Linked DNA regions of Elephas maximus indicus. The protein of the gene in region 2 purifies or fractionates together with the protein of the main gene of each other region. This does not show direct contact. Links are inferred from orthologs where the notes say so. Each region holds a gene or a part of one and is shown on either strand. Other genes may lie near its edges.

The links. Proteins that work in one complex are often made in the same cells at the same time.
Region 1: the proteins of TBPL1 (region 2) and GTF2A1 purify together in Homo sapiens (affinity purification with mass spectrometry; 5 studies listed by BioGRID and IntAct, counting the BioPlex papers as one, with this or other methods). This does not show direct contact. The link is inferred for Elephas maximus indicus from reciprocal best matches to the Homo sapiens genes TBPL1 and GTF2A1.

What each region holds. Positions count from the first base shown.
Region 1 is NC_064828.1:94,357,251-94,367,863, reverse strand, and holds the start of GTF2A1 (transcription initiation factor IIA subunit 1), read left to right. Parts: upstream 1-5,639; 5' UTR 5,640-6,085; coding exon 6,086-6,115; intron 6,116-10,175; coding exon 10,176-10,277; intron 10,278-10,613. UniProt on the Homo sapiens protein: TFIIA is a component of the transcription machinery of RNA polymerase II and plays an important role in transcriptional activation. TFIIA in a complex with TBP mediates transcriptional activity.
Region 2 is NC_064819.1:203,375,421-203,386,105, forward strand, and holds the start of TBPL1 (TATA box-binding protein-like 1), read left to right. Parts: upstream 1-6,351; 5' UTR 6,352-6,518; coding exon 6,519-6,640; intron 6,641-10,685. UniProt on the Homo sapiens protein: Part of a specialized transcription system that mediates the transcription of most ribosomal proteins through the 5'-TCT-3' motif which is a core promoter element at these genes. Seems to also mediate the transcription of NF1. Does not bind the TATA box.

The sequences.
Region 1 (10,613 bases), on a different chromosome or scaffold from region 2:
CTAAGCACTGTGCTAAATAGCTTTACGTAGGTTATCTCTTAATTCTCGCACAACTCTCTCAAGTAAGTAATATCACGGACGCTGTTTTGCAGATAAGAGGAAGTGACTTGCCCATGGTCAGAGCCAGGACTAGCACCTAGGTCTCTTAGACCTAGAGAGTTCATACTCTTGAGTACTTGCTATCCTACTATCCCCTTCTTTTTACTGTATGCTGTTTCTTCTAATTTATTGTGCAATGACATTGCCACAGGCACAACTGATTTTTCTATCTACATAAAAAAGTGGGAGTTATACCACTAGTCCAACAGGTAAAAGAGAAAGAATTCCCCTTCCCAATTTTCTACTACTATAAATGGCCATCCTACATTTTCTTGTTTTATGAAAATATTTAATATGTAATTATAAAGCTAGGCCAAAATGTTTTGATTATACAGAATATGGCTAGAAAATAACTGTTCTTGCCAAATTCAATAATTGAGTACATGCTATTTGGAAAAGGAAAATGATGATTTTATACTGATGTAGCAACACTGAAATCAGTTATCTGAGATGATTTAGTAAATGCTTTTTGATGATATTTTTATGAGGGCGATTATATTTAATTGGGGTAAAGTTTCTCTTCTTCAAGTCTCAAATGTGCATACTGTAGGGTTGCTCTTCTGCCAAATGAAGTTTAACCCATGATATCATTAACACGTATTGGAAAAACTCAAGAACAATATTATCTGATTCAAACCCTTCACATTCTCTTGGACCAAGAGCTTTTCCTCTATAAGACAGGTAGAAAGAACCTTAAATTTGTATCACTACGATTTCACCAGTAAATAGCAATATGAGCTTGGATTAAGTCACTACTTAACCTGAGTCTCAGTTTCCTATTCATAAAAAAGGGATAATATTACTTATCTCAAAGGACTGTTACAAGCTCTAAAGGAGATAATTTGGGATTAAAGTTTTTTAAAAACCAAAGGCTGCCAAATAAGTCCATCATCATTATTACTGCTTCTCAGTTAGGCAGGGAACACAAAATGGCAAATTTCTTGGTCTTTTAAAAAGCAATTTTTTTTTTTTTTGGTTTATTTAAATGTTCATTCTTTTTGCTTCTGGCTATGCCACTTTTTTTTTTTTTTTTTTTTTTTGAAGAGCAAGCCAAAAACATTAGCCCAGAGTCTTGGTTCTCAAGAAAGTATTTGGATCACACCCGATTTTCTCACAGTTACCCTTGTGAAAGCAAAGTCCAGCCCACAGTATTTAAGCAGATTCCGTACTTCCATTCTGGCCTGAAATCTCTAATAATCTTCCTGCCACGTTTTGTTTTATAATCTCTGTTACCTCTACTTATTAATCCATACTACCAGAGAACGGTAGGTTCTGGAAAAGAATGCAAACCAGCCTATTTAGTTTCAGTAATAATTAGTTGATTAACTACAGATTTATCTGCTATGATGTATTTTATTAGAAAGTTGTCTATGCAGAATTGTCTGTCATATCAGAAGCCTCTATCAAGTTGAAGGCATACAAGCGAGAAGATAAAGGCAGCAAATAAATCAAAGATCATTTGGCCACTAGAAGAATATTTTTTATAAAACTATCTGAACAAGCATCCTGTAAATTTAACCATTTTTAACTGTCCCAAATCACAGTTGTTTAACTTGTGATTCAAGATGAGGCAAAAATAGCTGAGATATAAGAATCAGAGAAAGAGGAAACCCATGTAATTAAACACAGTGTTTAATATTAATTACATTTATAACACAACACCAGGCCTTCTTGGGAATACTGATGACAAGCTGTGTGAATAAAGAACCATCACTGATTGTAAAATAATGTGTCACTGGGCTCCCTTTAGCATTTTTTTAAATACAGAATTTCAAACGTATGTAAAAACAGGTTGAATAGTCTAATAAACCCCAATGTACCTGTTATAGGTGCTCTGGTGGCACAGTGCTTAAACGCTTGGCTGCCAGCTGAAAGTTTAGTGGTTTGAACCCACCAGCCACTCCTACCGGAGAAAGATGTGGCAGTCTGCTTCTGTAAAGATTTATAGCCCTGGAAACCCTGTGGGGAAGTTCTGCTCTGTCCTACAGCGTCGCTATGAGTTGGAATTGATGGGTTTGGTTATGGGTACCCGTTATGGGTTGAATTGTCTCCCCCAAACATGTATTGAAGTCCAGGCCCCTAAACTGAAAACAAACAAACCCGTTGGTGTCAATTTCAGCTCAAGTGGCCCCATGTGTTACAGACTAGAACTGCTCCATAGCGTTCTCTTGACTGTAACCTTTGACAGAGCACAAGGCTTTTCTTCTGTAGCGCCTGCTAACCTTTAGGTTAGCAGCCAAGTGTTAACTGTTTGTTGTGCCACGCAAACAACAACAAAAAACCAAAATCTGTTCTGTTTTGCCCTGGCGTACATTCTGATGCATAGCGACCCCATAGGACAGAGTAGAAATGCCTCACAGGGTTTCCAAGGCTGTAATCTTTACGGAAACCGGAAGCCAACTGCCACATCTGCTGGGAGGTTCAAGCCACCTTTCGTTTGGCAACCAAGCTCCTAACAACTGCCACCCAGGGCCCTTGAAATAGGGTTTTTGTTATGCTAATTAGGTCATACCCAGTAGGTTGGGCTCTAAATTTACTCATTTCTGAGTTAGGAAAAAAAGCAGAGCGGATGAAGACACATAAAAGGAGAAGAGAAAAACAGAGGAGACACATGCAGCCACAAGGACTTCTGGCAGCTACTAGAAGCTGAAAGACAAGGAAGGACTGCCCCTAGAGCCACACTCTGAATTTGGACTTGTAGCCACCTGAACTGTGAGAAAATAAATTTCTGTTCTTTAAAGTTTTTGTTATGGCAGCACCAGGTAACTCAGATAGTACTCTTCCTCAGCTTCAACCATTACACACTCATGGCCAAACTTGCCTCATTAATACTCCATCTATGTCTCTGCTTTTGTGTTATTTTGAAGCAAATTCAAGTCTCATTATTTTGTTTTTCAGTACACATTTTTGAAAGAGAGGGTATTTTAAAGTAGAACTATTATCAAACTTAAAAATTTATCAGTAACTTTAATTTCACTAAATATCCAGGAGCTGTTCAGTTTCCAATAGTTTCATAATTGTCATCATTTTCTTTTACAGTTTATTTGAAGCAGGATCCAAATAAGGTCCACTCATTGTGACTGACTGATAGGTCTCTTTGCTGTTGTTAGTAGCCTTTCACTCACAGCGACCCCATGCACAATGGAACGAAATGCTGCCAGGTCCCTGCCATCCCCACGATCAGTTGTGGATAAGACTGTTATTTATGATCCACAGGGTTTTCAGTGGCTGATCTTCAGAAGTAGATCTCGAGGCCTTTTTTCAGGAAGCTCTGCTGAAATCTGTTCAGCATCCTAGCAACACGCAAACCACCACAGATGAGTGGTGGCTGGTCATCAAGTGCATCAGCCAGGAATTGAATCTGGGTCTCCCACATGGAAGACAAGAATTCTACCATGGAACTACTAACGTCACCTGTGTCCCCGATCAATCCTCCCCAATTGTGATCAAGTTGTCTCTGACTCCAACTCATGGCAACCCCCCGTGTGTCAGAGTAGAACCGTACTCCTTAGCATTTTCGATGGTTGATTTTTCGATGTAGATCACCAAGTCTTTCTTCCCAAGCATTTCTGCGAGGACTCCAACAGCCAACCTTTAGATTAGCAGCCGAGCACGTTAACCATTTGCACTGCTGTGGAGAGCAAATCTCGTGGATTATCCCCATCTCCTGTATGCAAGTAGTCTTAATCTAAACCGATTGCAAAACATTTGTTCATTAACAATACCAAGTCGTAGGGAGGAAAAGAAGATGAAAGATGAGAGATGGCACGTGCAGAGTTGGGGGTGTGCATATATGGAGGTAACACGTTCTCTTAAAATAATATGCAGTGAAACTTACTGGAAATTGTTTTGTATAATCTTTCTGGTTGTCACCTGAACATTAAGTGAATTATGAGTGTTGATGGGATCATAATTTATACAATATTCCAAAAATAGTATGGTTTTCTGTGTATTTTTAAGGTCCCAAATCAGGCAGCTGGGCAGTCAACTGTGAAGCGACGGAGTGGTAAGAGCAAAGTGGGTAATCAGATGGTATTAGAAGAAATCTCAAGGTTTTTGCCTAGTCACAAACTCATTCCATAATCTCCCATTTCTGAGTCTTAATGGCCTTAGTTTTCTCTAATCCCTTCCTTCGGATCCGGGGAGGCTGCATTTTTTCCTCCCTCTTGGTAGGGTGCCTTTGGTAGTCATTTAAACCTGGTTGCACCAGCATATAACTTCTGGCATTTTTTTTGTTTGCACTTTGAGGATAAACTCCCTCATTGCTTCAGATTACACGTTTGTCAAAATGCCTTAAGAAAAAAAAAAACCCAAACCCACCGCCGTCCAGTGGATTCGGACTCATAGCGACCCTAAAGAACAAAGTAGAACTGCCCCATAACGTTTCCAAGGAGCGCCTGGTGGATTCCCACTGCCGACCGTTTGGTTAGCAAATGTAGCTCTTAACTACTACGCCACCAGGGTTTCCATCAAAACACCTAGAGACAAGAAAATTAAGTACTGCGAGGTCTGCTCTCTAAACAGGACATTCTCTGTCCCGCGTGAAATGTTGATATAAAAGCAGAATTTGCTTGGGCAAATGTGGGAAAAACCTGTTGAATTGCACTCCAAGACATGGGCATTTTCTGCTCGCTCTCACAGCGAGACGCCACGAGAGTTGGTGGGTCAAGGGCATGCATTTCAGATATGATTAGTCACTACGTGCTGGCCATATGGAGCCGCAATATTTAAAAAATCAGGAAAAGTTATTGTACTTCCTTATTCCAGTGATGGTGTTCCGTTTCGTTTTTGGCATTTCCACGAGCGTGAGAAGTTATTTAAAGTACGTCAACTAATAATGGCCGAAGCTTTGGGAACTCCGTCACCGGCCTCAATACGGTGACAAACGGCTCGGCGGTTTCAGATTACTGCTTCTGGAACACGAAAACATAGGCCCAAATCAGCCTTCAGCCCCTTCAGAAACAACCGAGAGAAGGTCCACACTCAGTGAGAAGCGCTAACACGGCGCAGCTTGCAGTGTGATCTCAGTTCACGCCGGGAGAGATGACTCCGCACTTAAAACTGCCCCAGGTCGGACCTCGACACGGGCCGGTACAGAACACGTGACCGGCCCTCCTCCGCGGCCATGCCTGTGTAGGCTGCTGCCACCGCCCCTGTCACATTCGGAGCTCCTCCAGCACGGGGCGGCGCGGAAACGTCTGCCACGAGGCAGAACAAGCCAGCTTTAGATACCCGTGTTACTAGAATTCGCGCCTTTCCCACAAGTGTTTTGCAAGTTTCTCAACCCAAATGGGCTTCCGAAGACTTCCGCCTGAGTGCCAACCACGTGATCACGCGATACTTGGAGAAGCCACAGCCCCACTTCACTACTCCTGTCCCCGGGCTCCGCCCGCCCAGCACTCTCCACGGCGCGTGACGACGCGGCCCGCGGCGGCCTCCGCCCCGGCGCGCCTGCGCACGCGGCTCTCGCGGTGTCTCGCGCTCGGCCCCGCCCACCTCTGCCCCCGCCCTTTCCGTCCCTCCCTCCCCCTCCGCCCTGTCTCTCGGCGGAGCGGCGGCGGCGGCGGCTCGCGCAGCGCGTTGGCTCGCTATATAAAGGGGAGAAGCGGGCGGACCGGACGGCTGGAGCTGCAGCCGGTGGCAGCAGCGGCGGCGCGGGGAGCGGCGACCGGTGGTGGTTTCCCTCCTTCGCGCGGGGTGGGGAGCGGGCAACGCCCCCCGGACCCCCGGAGGGTCTTGGTTTTTTTTTTTTTTTTTTTTCTGGGGGAAGGCGGTTCTCGAGGTTTTTAGCCCCGGGAGGAGTGCCCCCCCGCTCCTCTCTCCGCTCCCCTCTCTACACCTTCGGGATCCGATTTTACAATTTTTCCCAGTCGTGCGGTGGCTCGGGTCACCTCCGGGTGTTTTGGTTTTGCTTTTTCTTTTTTGATTTTGTTTTTACCTTGTTTTCTCGGGGTTCACCCCCCTCTTATTTGTGTTGTGTGTGGAAATGGCGAACTCGGCAAACACAAACACCGTGGTAAGGACGTGGTTCGGTGGCCGGCGGGGGCTTCATGCAGGCGGCAGCAACGGCCGGACCGGGCGGGGGCGGGGACGGCGGCGACACCCGGCCTCGACTCTCCTCAGCCGCCCGCGCGGCCGCCGCCGCTTCCCGCCTCGGGCGGACCGGGCCGGGCGCCGGGCGCGGGCGCGGGGGGGCGCCGAGGGCTCGCGCGGCGGCGGCGGCGGCGGCGGCGGGAGGGGGCGGCGGCGGGGCCTGGGGCGGGCCGGGCCGCGGAGGCGGTTGGCCGGGGCGAGCGCGCGGCCCGGCCCCAGACCCCGGCGCCGGGAGGGAGGAGGGGAGCCGCCGCCTCCCCCGAAGTGGGCCCGTCCGAGCTCGACGAGGGCTCCCCGAGCACCTCAAAACAAAAACCGTGTCTGGGGAATTGGGCCAGCCCCAAGCCCCGCCGCGGTCCACTTGAATGCAGTGGAAGGCTGATGCCACTTCGGGGGCTAGTCTGGGTTTTCCTGGCTTAGGCTTTGGGACCCTTCATTGGGGCCATTTTATGTCTAAGGAAAACGGACGAAGGTTGAAAAGTACTTATCTCGGTTCCTTCCGAATCGGTAAAATGGCGAAGGGGAAGCAAAACCCCCATCGGATCTCCGACTAGCAAAAGCACCAAAACAAACAAAAAAAAGCCTACAGTGGTCAAAGTGCCCCTGCTTTCGCCTTAAAATTTGCCTCCTTCTCCCCCGTTTGCCCATTTTTTGGTTACTTGCGATCACGTAGGTTTGCAAAAAGCAGTCACATAAAAAACCTTTTCAGTCCCCAACGCAATGTGATCACTAGTCCCCCCGACTCTCTTATTTTTATTGTGCCAATAAAACACGTCTTTGCCCGGTCCCGAATGCCGCAGACCAGCCCGCGGCCGCCCGACACCGTACCGTTGGCGACTCGGGTCGATCCATCATGGCTGCGGCCGCTTAGCCTGCTTTTCAGTCCCTGAGCCTTGTGGTCCTCCTCCCTTTGGCTGCCCTGTTTATATAGAGCCATTGCCGCTCTCTAATATAGACTCTGCCAGGATGGGAAGGTGCTTTTCAGGCCTACGTCACCGCCTCTCCATTTAAACACCAGATCCGGCTTTAAATAGTGAGAGCTGCTGCGAGCAGGGCTGGGAGGTTCGTGCTCCCGAGGCGAGAGGCTGGCGTGTGTAGAGCTCAATTTATTCCTGGGTCCTTTTCTTAACGCTGTAATCTCGCCCCTCAGGGGGGCTGCTTTCAGAGCCTCAGATGTTTTGATGCTGCAGCTAGGGTTTGCTTTCTTTGGTTTGCCAGGGGAAAACATTCCGAATTACTATCCCTTCTATTTTTATTTATTTTTTTTAAAGAGAAATTTTAAGTAACAGGGTTTAATCCTATTTCTTGTACTGGAAGGTGTGTACCTTATTGTCGGGAATTTAAAAATGCTGTCTATATTAAGTGTCAGCTGCAGAGGACTTGATTTGGGAAGGGATAATTTTATCAAGTATTCAGGAAACTTAGAAATCTAGCTCCTGATATTTCATATTTTTTTATTGTTTCAATATGTTTTCTGCTAATATCTGAAGACAGAAAGCTTTTCAGAGGTCATAGATAAGTGGCTAAAGCTTTACCTTAGGATTTTTTCTCCACGGTAAATTTATGTGTAGGGGAATTGTGAGTCACGAATGAGGAGATTTAGTGCAAACTGGATTTTAAAATTAAAAATCTAAGTAGATTCCCTGTATTGCATTGGATGATAACATGGTATCCAGTATAAAATTAATCCAGTTTATTTTCCAATGTTGCTGTGCATTCTGGGTTTAAAATTCTTTTAATTGCTATAATATGGATGTTTTTGTCAGAAGTATATAACTTGAATCATTTTGTATGCCCAAGGAACCTTCTAAGACTTTTGAAAGGAACCTTCTAATTAATCACTTGGTAGTGTCACTAATTGCCCTCTAATTTACCAGTTTTTAAGTTTGGAATATCTCCTAAATTGCCTTGCATTAAGTGCAAGAAACACTTTGGCTCAAGTAAAGTTTAGAATTTTAAGTAATGGCCTGGATATTGCTCCACAGGGTCTCTATGAGTTGGAATTGAATCGAAGGCAATGGGTTTGGTTTGATTTTGGTTTTATATCACATAGTGCCTGTGCGCCCATGTACTTTAAAATAAAGCATCAATATTTTGAGGACTTTTCAACTCACGAGCAATTTTCCTAAGTTGTTATTTGTGTATATACTTCATGAAGAATACATATTTCCCTTCCTATTTTAAGTGTTCAAGTCATAGGTTCATTTAATGTAGAAAAGGAAAGCCTTAAGACAAGATTGATTAATTAAATTGCGAGTACCAGAAGATAGCGTATTTCTGTCTGTAAATGTCTGTATCTTTAAGCAAAAGATTTTTAGGGTTAACGGACTTCAGGAACACCAAAACATCTCATTTGCTGGCAAAATAATTTGTATTGTCAATTTGAGATTTATGCTACAAATTTAAGAATACCTGCTTCCTTTATAGTGCCTCGAGGGGGTCATTATTGGTTAAAAAAAAAACCCCACTTTATCCATGTAGTTTTGTAATTCAGTAGATAAATCAATGTAGGTATAGATGATACCCGTAATCAGATACACTTCCCTTGTAAGTAGAATCGGAATGCTAAAATAAGGAGGCATTGTTGAGATGTACATTTTACGGATAAATCATTTTTAAGTTCACAAAGGCAAATTTGGCAAAATGACAAAGCCAGTTAGTGATTGGCATAGCAAGGGTGAGAACTTAGAGAAATAAATGGTTTTTCTGGTTGTCATGAGAAGAAATGAATGGTTTTTAATGGCAGATGCGAGTTGTGCTAACAAACTCAGTACATGTTTTTTGTCAGACAAGAGTACATTTTTCTTTGAGGGTTCCCCTGTGATAACAATATTGCAGGTAGAAATGCTACTGAAACATTTATTTCTCTTTGAAGTTTGCTTATGAGAGCAAATCCTTGGCTTTATTGGGCAGCCAATAACTTTCACCTTAAACGAGGTATAAAATAAAAATAATGACAAATAATTTTAAGAAAGAAATGTTAACCATATGTGTATGTGATAATAACAAGGCACCTCTAGTTTTACCAGTCTGGCTGCAAACTTCCTTTTGTCTAACATGTTAAAAATAGGATGTGGGTTGGGCTAATTGTTCTACGTCTCACCTTTTAGTTTTTAAAAAATATGTTTGAAAGTGGTTTTCATAGACACTCGCATTTTATCCTGGCAATCTTCTAGAAGCCAGCTGCCAAGTACCAACAATAATAGTAATAATAATACCAAGCAATGTAGTACCAACAATAATATCCACCAAATAATACTAGCCATAATAGTAATAATAAATTTTGGGAGGTCCTGGGAAAGAGATCAGTATAACTGGTTCGTCTCGGACGTTGAGACCTATCGTTGTGGATATGGGAACAATTTAATGATAGAACTTTAAGATACAGAGTGGGTCACAGGAACAGAAATTAGGTGATTTTTGAACTTCAATCCTCATTAGGTTCCAGATTTATTACCAGGGAAATGACTACAGGATATACACACACACACCTGTTGTCAAGTTGATGCCGACTCATAGTGACCCTAAAGGACGGTAGAACTGCCCCATAGGGTTTCCAGGGAGCACCTGGTAGATTCAAACTGCTGATCTTTTAGTTAGTAGCCGTAGTTCTTAACTACTACACCACCAGGGTTTCCTAAGCTTCTTTAAAAATCTAAGACTTAGTGACAAGGTTGTGAGATAAAACAGGGTTCACACCAAGCAGGGAATAATAGAAGCTAGACATAAGCAACCCATAAAGCTATTATCGAGCATCACATTAGGTGTTTTGACTACAGGAGAGGAAATTATAACTGGAAATTGTGTGGACCTCGTATGTATAAGGGCATTCGGCTTATGAATTGCACTAAATAATTTAAACATTTATAAATTTTAGGTCATTTTTAAAATGACTAATTTGTCTTGAGTTTGTGAAAACCTACTATGCATTTTAATATATAAAAAATAGTCTTTTTCAGCAGTCTTTCATTTTTCTTTCGAAGCCTAAGTTATACAGATCTGTGATTGAAGACGTTATTAATGATGTGAGAGACATATTTCTGGATGATGGAGTAGATGAACAAGTCCTGATGGAATTGAAAACTGTGAGTTGGCTTTTTTTAAAAAAAAAATTCATGCATTTTTATCAAAACATTCTTTTTTCTAGAGACTAATCCATACTTTTTCCATAGCATGAGTGTCTGACTTTGATGCAAGAGACAGCATTGTTTAGTGAAGGATGCTGGCTTTGGTGCACAAATAATTGGTTTCAAATTCTGACTCTATCATCTATTTCTCTCACCTTGGGAAAGCTATTTCCATTTTTCAATTTTCTTATCTGTAAGATGAGAACTAGTAGTATTTACCTTATAGGGTTGTTTAGACGATTAAATGCAATAGCCGTAGAAAAATGCTTAGTGCAGTGTTTGGCAAAAACATGA
Region 2 (10,685 bases):
TCACAACTGGACCAATAAGCAAGATCATGACAAACAGAGAAAAGATTGAAGTTGTCAAGGATTTCATTTTACTTGGATTCACAATCAACAGCCATGGAAGCAGCAGTCAAGAAATCAAACGATGCATTGCCTTGGGTAAATCTGCTGCAAAGGACCACTTTAAAATGTTGAAAAGCAAAGATGTCAAGTTGAAGACTAAGGTGCGCCTAACCCAAGCCATGGTATTTTCAATCACGTCATATGCATGTGAAAGCTGGACAATGAATAAAGAAGACCGAAGAAGAACTGACGTCTTTGAATTGTGGTTTTGGTGAAGAATATACCATGCACTGCCAAAAGAATAAAGAAATTTGTCTTGGAAGAAGTGCAACCAGAATGCTCCTTAGAAGCAAGGATGGAGAGACTGCGTCTTACATACTTTGGACATGTTGTCAGGACGGATCAGTCCCTGGAGAAGGACATCATGCTTGGCAGAGTACAGGGCCAGCAGAAAAGAGGAAGACCCTCAACAAGGTGGATTGACACAGTGGCTGCAACAATGAGCTCAAGCATAACAACCATTGTAAGGATGGTACAGGATTGGGCAGTGTTTTGTTCTGTTGTGCATAGGGTCACTGTGAGTCGGAACCAACTTGACGGCACCTAACAACAACAACACCCATCATCATCTGGCTTCTCAGTGCCTATATGATCTCTCTCTCTCTCTCTCTCTCTCTCTCACACACACACACACACACACACACACACTGATTTTCCCATATCTACAGTTTCCCTTAATAGAAAAGCAGCAATAATATACTCAGATCCCTTTCCAGTGGCAGGAGAAAACTCAAACTCACCTCTAGACATTGAATCTAGCTTCAAATTTTAGGATATTTGTGTGTTATCAATCTTGATCAGGGCCAGATGTTGCTAAATCATGAATAATAAATTTATTTCCAATGCACCAATATACAAAAAAAAAAAAAATACAACAAGGGAGAGGGAAATGGAATAACGAAAACTCATGAGAAAAGGCATAAAGGATAAGCAACATACAGTGGTTGTGAGCAAACGCTATATAATGTTGGATGAGGGTAATAAGGACTCCACTTCTCCAGCAGAGGACTAAGACATTTTGTCACTTAAAGTGCCAAAATTTCCTTCGTCCATTGCCCTCCAAGATCTTGCCTTAGAGAGACAGTGAGAAGGAATTACCTTCTCAGGAATACACTGACAGTCTAAATCACCTTTCTATAGGTTTTTTTTTTTATAGGTATGGAGACTGGACGCTGCCTTTGAGACAGCACAACAGTAGGTGCCTCTTGCCAGGCTGTGGACTTTTTGGCAATACCTTAAAACTTTAGTTGGCTGCCAATGTCATTTAGGGAGAAATCATTAACTTGTTATCAGACATCTCTTTGAGTCACAAGTTTTGAATATGCACCCTGCCCTCCCAGTTTCTATCTCTTGGAAACAGGCCTGGCAACTCCTTCCATCTACCTAGATCTCAGTTAAATGGCTTTTGCCATTGACTCTATCTGAGGGCAGTAGGTAGGAACAGGCTGGAGTTATGAAGCGAAGTTAATCAGACTCCATCCCTTTAGTTGTACACCACTCAACTGGCATAATGGGAGTTATTTTTTCCCTTTTTCAGTTGGGAAGGGGCAATGATTTTTTTTTTTTTTTTTTTTAAGGGGCATAGCAGATGTTGGGGAAGATTCCTTGGGAATGAGGCATCCCTGATCGCATGGTTATCCTGGGTCTCTGTATTCCTAGTTAGTGCTTTAACTTTTGGTGGGGCAGAAAATTTAGTTATTTCAATTGGCAGAAGAGATATTATCTGATCCTTATCAGTCCAAGATAAATAACCATTGGCAGAAAAGACCCATCTAACAATGCTGTATAATTTTTGCTCCATATTACCCATCTCTGGAAGGCCATGCTGAACTATAGTTTGATTATTTCATAGCACTGAAGTAGGCAAGAAGTAGCCAACATATTCCAGTAGCCTGATTTTCTTTTTTCCCAAGTTCCCTAAAGCTACAGCTTTGTTGGTATAACAAGTAATAATCTACCAGTGCCTCTCCAACTACCTGTGATAAAGAATCAGTTTGTTTGTGTAAAAATGGCATGAGGGTGGGGTCAGAACTCCTTGTGTAATTTCGAGGGGAAAAGAGAATCAAGATCAGTCCAAAGCTGATTCCTGTGAGGTGGTCAGACATACCTCCTCTCTCCAATCTTTTTGACAAATTCTGACACCAGCCTTCCCTCCCACGGCACTCTACTTCTCTGCTGGTTTTGATAATTCATTGCAATGGCTACACAGAACTCGTAGACTATATTTATGATTAAGGGGTTTTTTAGGGAAGTAATAGGTTACAATTCAGGATAAGGAATGACTCAGGATACACTTCTTTGATCAGGGCAGGATTTCTCAGCTATGCGCCCGCAGGCAGCCCTCTTTCTGGTTTTTGGCCTCTCAGACTCTTGGCCTGGCCTCTGCCCTGCTCAGGGAAGTGTTACAAACTGCTTTAGCTCTGCCAATAAGTGCCCAAAGGCATCCTGCTCCACCAGTAAGCCTCAGCCCTAAGGCGCTCAGCTGTTTTGCTCTGTGGGGCTGCACACCCACTGTAGCCGCCTCGCTCCATGGGCTGGGAAGCCCATTGCACTGTCTCCTGATTCTGCTGCTGCCATTTCTCTGCCAATGGACTCTGCAGTGCTTGCCACAGCTTCTTGCCATCTCCAGTGTTACAACTATGTCTCCTGGGTCTAAGAGGTTCTCAGCGCAGGGACCCTGGGTCCAAAGGATGTGCTTCACTCAGCTCCTCTTCTTGGTGGCAGTAAGATCACCTTCTCTCAGCTACTGGGATTGGCTCCCTTTAAGTCTAGTGGGATGGCAAAACTAACCAATCCCCTCATTAGGGTTCCATATACCTGATTTGCATTATTAGCAAGCTTTCCAATCCCCTCGGTGGGCCACAAGCACCTTATTTGCATAGTCCCACCCAAACATTTTGTGGGAGTTACAAAGACCGTGCATGGCTAGAAGGGCTGTATTAAGTAATTCACTGCACCACAGTTTGTTTGTTTTTAATTACCAACCCATCACAGATAAATGCTTTCATAAGATACAAAACTGCATGCTTAAATGATGCTGCAATGTGAAATTGTTAAGCTTCAAAATGCTCCCCTCAATTTCTCTATTTCATTGTTGACCAGTGCAGTTTGAAGACTGGCTTTGGTCTGTACATCACATTTTCAGTAGCACTGTTCGAATCTATAAACCAAAATCCCAAACCTATTGCTGTTGAGTAGATTCTGACTCATGGCGATCCCATGCATTACAGAGGTTACAGAGTAGAACAGCTCCATGGAGTTTTCTCAGCTGCAATCCCTATGAAAGCAGATTGCTAGGGTTTTCCTCCATGGTGCTGCTGGGTGGGTTCTAACCAACAACCTTCAGGTTAGTAGGACTTTTTGCACCACCCAGGGACCTAATCAATAAAGCTTGCTTATTTTCCCAAACTGGGATGGATTGCTTTTCACTGTACCCACCCCACCTTGACTAAGCCAGTAGTACATTTTAGGGTCTGACAATTGCAATTCCCCATTTCCAGGTATCAGTCTTCACATTAATCAAGAGTCTTGGTTCAGAATGTATATTGCGTATTCTAATCCTACAGAGTGTTGTCTCTCAGCTGGGCCCTGATTAACGAGGCACATTATAAGACCAATGAAGCCCATGGTTTTGTCCCATTGTCTTACTTCTTTCACTGCGAAATGAATTCCTTGGTCAGAGGGATATTTTACGGGATAATGTGATAGTCTATAACCATTCAATAAGTCCATTCAGAGCAGAGCTGGCAGCAAAACAAAATCCAATTCCAGAATAAGGAACTATCATAGTGAGGCAAACTGTTGATCCACACACGACAAAAGGGAGTCCAGAGTAATTGACATGCTTGATGCCAGGTAACTTGTTGGTCTCCTTGAGGGAGGGTACCTCATAAGGATCTTAGAATTGGTCACTGCTGGTATAACATTGAATGTTCAGCAGTGGCAACAGCCACTGGAACAGAGCCTTTTCCATGCCACTTCCTTTGTAAACTAGGCCATTTACTCTTCAGTTTAAAATTCTTCACTTCCCCTAGAATTTGGAAGAAAAGCCAAACTATTTATATGGCCTAAAAAATGTTGTAGGCTTCTCTCTAACTTCATCTCATGCCGCTTCACTCAAGGTGCCCCAACCACACCCAGACTCCAGCACAGCAAGCTCTTAGGACATTCTGTTCCTTCTGCCTAGAACACTACATGTACATACCTCCCAGCCCATCTTTTTTTAGATTTGGGCTGAAATGTTACCTCCTAAAAGTCCTCTCCCCACTACAGCATAGACATTATTTTCTAACACTGCCTCTTGTTTATTTGCTTCCGAACACCTAATACATGTTGCCATTGAGTAGATTCCGACTCACAGCGACCCTATAAATCAGACTAGAACTGCCCCACAGGATTTCCAAGGAGCGGCTGGTGGATTCGAACTGCAGACCTTTTGGTTAGCAAGAGTGCTTAACCACTGTACCACCAGGGCTCCTAATATAACCTATAACTATTTAATATTCAAACCAATGTACCTGGTGGTACTTGGTTATCGGCTGCTAACCAGAGGTGAGGACTTGGGACCCAGCAGATGCTCCCCAGAAGGGTCACTATGAGTCTGGAGGCGAGTTTAGTTGGGTGTTTGGTATTCAAACAATAGGAGCTCTGGTGGCTCAAAGGCTAAGCACTTGGCTGCTAACAGAAAGGTCATGCTTGGAACCCACCCAGCTCCTCCGTGGGAGAAAAGACCTGGAGATTAGCTGTAAAGATTACAGTCTAGAAAACCCTACGGGGCAGGTCTATTCTGTCACAAGGCTTCACTACAGTCAAAATCCACTAGACAGCACACAACAACATTCAAACAGTAAGTTACTACAGAAATGGAAACAAAATGGAAATGCCACCATTCTATGTTTTAAAATGCATGGATATTTTTCTGAACACTCAGCGTGCAAAGCAAAAAGATCAAGCGGCCATCCTTGGCGAATCTGTAAAGAATTACATACTCAAATGGCTGTGTACTCCGAAATCTCCCAGAATTCAGCTCACATTTTCTCTTTCAAAAGAACAATGGCATGATTTTTCAACCTCAATTCACACCAGAGTCCAGGCACCCATGAAGTCTGCCTCGTGGCCTTTTAATAATTAAATCGGGGCTGCCCATTGGCTTCACCTAAAGGCTCCTGAAACGAGGCTGCTGAATGGACTCAGGCTTGGGATCAAGGCCCAAGCGGACTGGCCTGGGAGTTGGGGGTCTCGGGGTTCGCGCGCGCGCAACCCTTTCGGGCCGTTAGGCGGGTCTCGGCCCGCGGGCAGCACCTCTCAGGCCACTCCGGAGGAGTCCCAAGGCCTCGTTTGGTTCCCAGCCTGGCGGTTCAAACTGGCAAGACTACACCCCTACGCGTTCTCCCCGAGTGATTCCAGGGCGCAGAGCCGCGTAAGGGCCTCAATCCTGGACGCCCAGCTTCCATGTGAGCACCCTCCTACTCCGGACGGCCTGAGCAGCCCGACCGCTTCTCCTGCCTGCTGGCCTCTCCTCTCTCCAGCCCAACCTGCAGCCGCCCTCTGCCACCTCCCTTCCCGCCCCCATCTGGCTACCGGTGTAAAAGGCTCTGAAGTGCCTCCTGGCGCCGAGGGAGACCTGACCGCAAACCGAAGTTCCGTAAGGAATACTGAAGGGGCAGGCGGCAAAAATGTGGCAGAAGTTCCCTGCATTATCCACCCATCTACCTATCCATCCTTCTATCCCCTATCACTGGTTTCAGGACTAGGATTAGAATTCCGTAGTGAGATTTTTATCGCGACGTCGTAAATGAACGCATTTAAATTGAAAAAAATTAAAAAGTTTTTCAGACAGAAAACAAGTCTCATTTAGTTGTTCAGGACTAACTTTACCAATTATGTTGAATGGTGAACCTTTTCTGTAAGTTGAACAAGCAAAGGGAAAATTCTAAGGCTTTGACGACAAAATTAAAGCCGGTTTATAACATATTGTACGGCAGAAATTAAGTACATATGTTTAGGTATCAATTAAAAATCTACAAGGGAGACAGTTTTTTTCAGAATCTTTTAAAGCAGCTCTCAAGCAAAAAATAAAAGTCCAGCCCACTGCCCTAGAGCGCCCCCCCAACCCGTGCCTGGCCAAGCTCTAGGGCAGGAAGGGTCTGGCTCGGTGACCAGCAAGGAGGAAGGCAGAGTGGAAGGGGAGGGAGAAAGTGACGGGAACAGTGAGAGCCGGAAATGTGTGGCTAGCGAGGAACCGAGTAGCGCCCAGTCCGGCGGCGCTCTAGCCTTCGTGCGCGTCTCTATGCTCCCCCGCGTCTCCTCTATTTATTGTCGCGGGGAAGCAGCGGCTGCCCTGTACCCGGAACAACAAAGCCCGAAAGACGGAGCCCGAGCCTCAGGGGCTCCTAGCAACCGGCCGGGGCGGGAGTTCCATGGAGACTGGGGAGCGCGCCCGCCTCATCATCATCCTTGTCCTCCAGCTTATCCTTCGCGTCCGACGTTACCGGCAGCAGCGCTGCCGCCGCGTCCTCTGCCGCAGCCCCCTCTTCCCACGGTAACCCCGTCGGCGACCCTTGGCGGGGGTGGGGGGGTGCGGCGGAGCGGCCTGAGTGCCGGGTGCTGGGCTGCGGGGCGCGGGGCGCGGGGCCGGCGTGCGAGCCGGGGCGGTGTTCGGGTGAGGCATGCGGGGGCAACGGACTGGACGGGAGGAGCTGGGGTGGGGGAAATCAGTCGGCGAGCCCCGGGAGGGTCGGCTTCCTACGAGGACGGGGCGCTACTGGGGAATCCCTTTAGGGATAACGGGGTGGGGGTGGGGCCTTACCGGCTGGGAGCGTTATCTAGCCGGTGCGGTGCGAGAAGAGAGGCGTTTTATTTTTCTGTTAACCACAACCGGGAAAGACAGGGGAAGGGAGAGTCCCGACTGTCTGCGGAGCCCTCCTCACTCAGGAGGGACCGTGTAAAGATGCTGGGGGTCCTTTGCTTCTCAGGAAACTTCCAGCGGCCTCTCTGCCTCGGCGGGAAGGCTTCCGAATAGCAGCTTCGTCGGTTCCTGGTTCTGGCGATACCAGCAGCCCCACTTGATTATTATATTTTTAAAAACAAAATCGGGTTTGACGAAGAAGAATCTGGAACTGGGGAAGATAAAATAAGTTGTAGGTAGGGCTAAGCAGGGTTGAGGGTCGGGAAAAGCGCTTAGTAATAGTCCCAAAAGTAAATCTAATAGAGAAGGACGAATTTTAGAAATTGCTCCTTCTGCCGAGATGTGCATCTGCAGATTTTGAGCGTGATTACTGCTGTAAGACTCCAAGTGCATCCAGTCCACATCTGTGAGCTGTCTGACTGCATCTGTCACCTGCAGTTCTAAAGCCTCACTGGCTTTAACTAGTGTGTTCGTGTAGAGTTAAATAAAAAAAAAAAAAGTGCCTTAAAATTAGTGGTTCAAGAAAAGGGAACAGACTTGGTGTGATTTTTGTGTGAAGAAGCAATGACAGGTTCCCTCGGAAAACTGAAAAAGAGAAGACTGTTCAGGCATCCTGGCATAATCTACAGTTTTTGAAAGTTTGAGAAAAAGGGTAGTTCATTCAAACCTAGAAAGGACTTTTATCACTATTTGGTTTAAAGAGTTATTCACAGTTTGATATTTACAGTTAAGGTCTCATCAGTTTCTGCTATTTCTTTTAAGCCTTACATCACAAACTGCTTAATGGTTTTATACTTTTCAAAGCCATTCTAGGTCAGTAAATGAGGTTAGTTATATGTGGGATACTGAAAAGGGCACATATACATACCACAGTAACACCATTTTTTGTGTTCAACGGGAACAAAGCTCTTTATATAAAGTTAAAAGTTAAGGATGAAAACAAAATGAATAAATCATGTAAGCAATCATGTCAGTAACAGCTTATGGTTGCCTCCTACCTCTTTTCGTAAGCCTGACTGCTCTTAAGCAAAAATGTGTCATCCTTACCCCAGCCCTCTCTTTTAGTACTTTCTGCCATCAAAATCAGTATCAGAAATTGTAAGACTGCTAATATGTGCCCTTGATTGGTTGACTGATTTCTTGAGTGAGAGAATACAGAGTTTTAAACTCAGGCAAATTCATTTTAAGCTTTTTTAATCTCACACTGAGATCTATGCAAAGAGGTGGGCAGTTTCCTTTAACAGGGGTGGGAAGTGTGACCATTGGGAGCCTTAAAATTGCCTGAGACTCTTAAGAGGAAAAACCCAGTATTGTCATTTTTGGAGTAAGCCCTGGTGGCACAGTGGTTAAAAGCTCAGGCTGCTAACCAAAAGGTCGGCAGTTCGAATCCACCAGCTGCTCTTTGGAAACCTATGGGACAGTTCTACTCTGTCTTACAGGGTATCTTTGAGGCAGGACTCGGAAACCCTGGTGGCATAGTGGTTAAGTGCTATGGCTGCTAACCAAGAGGTTGGCAGTTCACATCCACCAGGCACTCCTTGGAAACTCTATGGGGCAGTTCTACTCTGTCCTATAGGGTCGCTATGAGTCGGAATCGACTCGACGGCAGTGGGTTTGGTTTTTGGTTTTTATGAGGCGGGATCACCTCGATGGCAATGGGTTTGGTTTTGTTTTTTGGTTTAGTTGCTTAGTCTAATAGCTGTTCTTCTGTGAAGGATATACTGAGGGATGCCCACCCTGAGGCTGTTGGATGTTGGGTCACAGGATTTTCATAGTGCTTATGAGACTGCCAACAGATACTGCCATCAAACTCACTTCACCTAGACTTTATCTCCTATTGCCTCTTTGCCTTCTGTGTTTGAGTGGGAGTCAAGCCCCTAGCTTCCGCCTTTGTTAACAGCCCAGTTTGTGCTCTGCCTGCTCTCCGCCCCAACACTTCCAATGTTTGGTGTTGTCTTAGTTCCTCTCCTTACTTAACTGTGTCCCAGTCAAAATAATTTTTTATGCTATTTTCTTTCGGAGTTTTCAACATATGTCCTTGGCCTGTATATACTTTTCATTAATGTTACTTTGTTGCATTTCCATCTGTATCTCTCCCCTTTATTTGGAGAATTGGATTGGTCATGTCAGATGTTCTGTGTTCGTTCTGAATAGCTGTTGGTTGTGCAGTACAACAAGCAAGAGCCTTATCCTGAGAATCAAGAGATTGTATTGAAATAAGACATGCAAAAATATTGAACTTTTCAGAATGAATGGGTTTTTAGAAGTCCAAGTTAATACTAAAACTAGTGTTAACACTGTAGTTGTAAATATACCTTTTTAAAGGTGAAAGTATTATAAAGCCTGCTGTGTGTTTTAGGTTGAACCATAGATTTTTGTAATTTGTGTTAAAAAAAAAATCATTCTTTTTTGTTCATTTTGCAGCTGAAAAATTACTTTGTCAAATTTGAGGGAACTATTTTAAGTTATTTCCACAATATATGTGAAAATTCTCACATCAAAATTTATGAATGTATACATATATGGAACATGCAGAATTTACTGTAAAGTAGGATAAATACATATGAAACATCCACAGCTGAATATATTTGGAGACTATTATTTCTTACGGATGTGAGACAGTATTTAAAAATCAGCAGGTAATTGTATGATCTAGTTGACTGTGTCAGTGCTATATTCAGGTGAGGGAGGCCAGTAATAACCTGGGGGTTGATTTCCTTCTGTTGCATCATAGATCATGGGATGAAAGTATTGTTATGAAAAACAAAGTTTAAATTGATTTAGAGGAATTTATTTTTATGGTAGAATGTTTTCACTATGTCTTAGTCAAAACCTGTAGTGTTTTGAAAATTTAGCTGTATTGTGACGTTTAAAGTACTAAAGATTTCCTGAAATTATATTCTTATTTGTTGCACCTTTCATATGCGTGATACCATATCAGGTGTACAAAGCTGGTTGAAAGGCGCTTCTCTTCAGATGCTTCTTGTGCACTTGTAGATAGCAGAGAAATGACATTATATACGGGTAACAAAATAGGACACAATTTTGAATTTGAGATCCTTTATTACATACTGCCTGGTACTGAACTTATTGCTGTGTATCATCTTAATTTCGACATGCCTGCTGAATTAGAAGGCCCTCGAGGACCAGGACTGTGAGTTGCCATCATGTTCTTGTGTATGTGTGTGTTTTGAAGTTTAAGGTGTTAATAGATTATATATGTGGATGTGTGTGTATCTATATGTATCTATGTATTTCACTTCAGGAGAATCGATAAAGAGGGCCTTAACCAGTAGACTGAGGGGAACCTTTTTGAAATCTAATTCTTGATGCCTAAAATTTCAACTTCTGATCCTGGCTGTAGGGATGGAAGTTATAAACAGCAAAAATTCTTCAAATGTGATTAGGTCTTGTTCTTAACCAATTCAGAACAGTAAAAATAATGGCTTACCACTTAAGGAGGTTTCAAATGTGTGATGCCAAAAAAAAAACAAACCCAACACATTGCTGTTGAGTCGATTCTGACTCATAGTGATCCTATAGGACAGAGTAGAACTGCCCCATAGGGCTTCCAAGGCAGTAAATCTTTACAGAAGCTGATTGCCGCATCTTCCTTCTGTGGAGCTGCTGGTAGGTTTGAACCGCTGACTGGTTAGCAGATCAGGACTTAACCACTGTG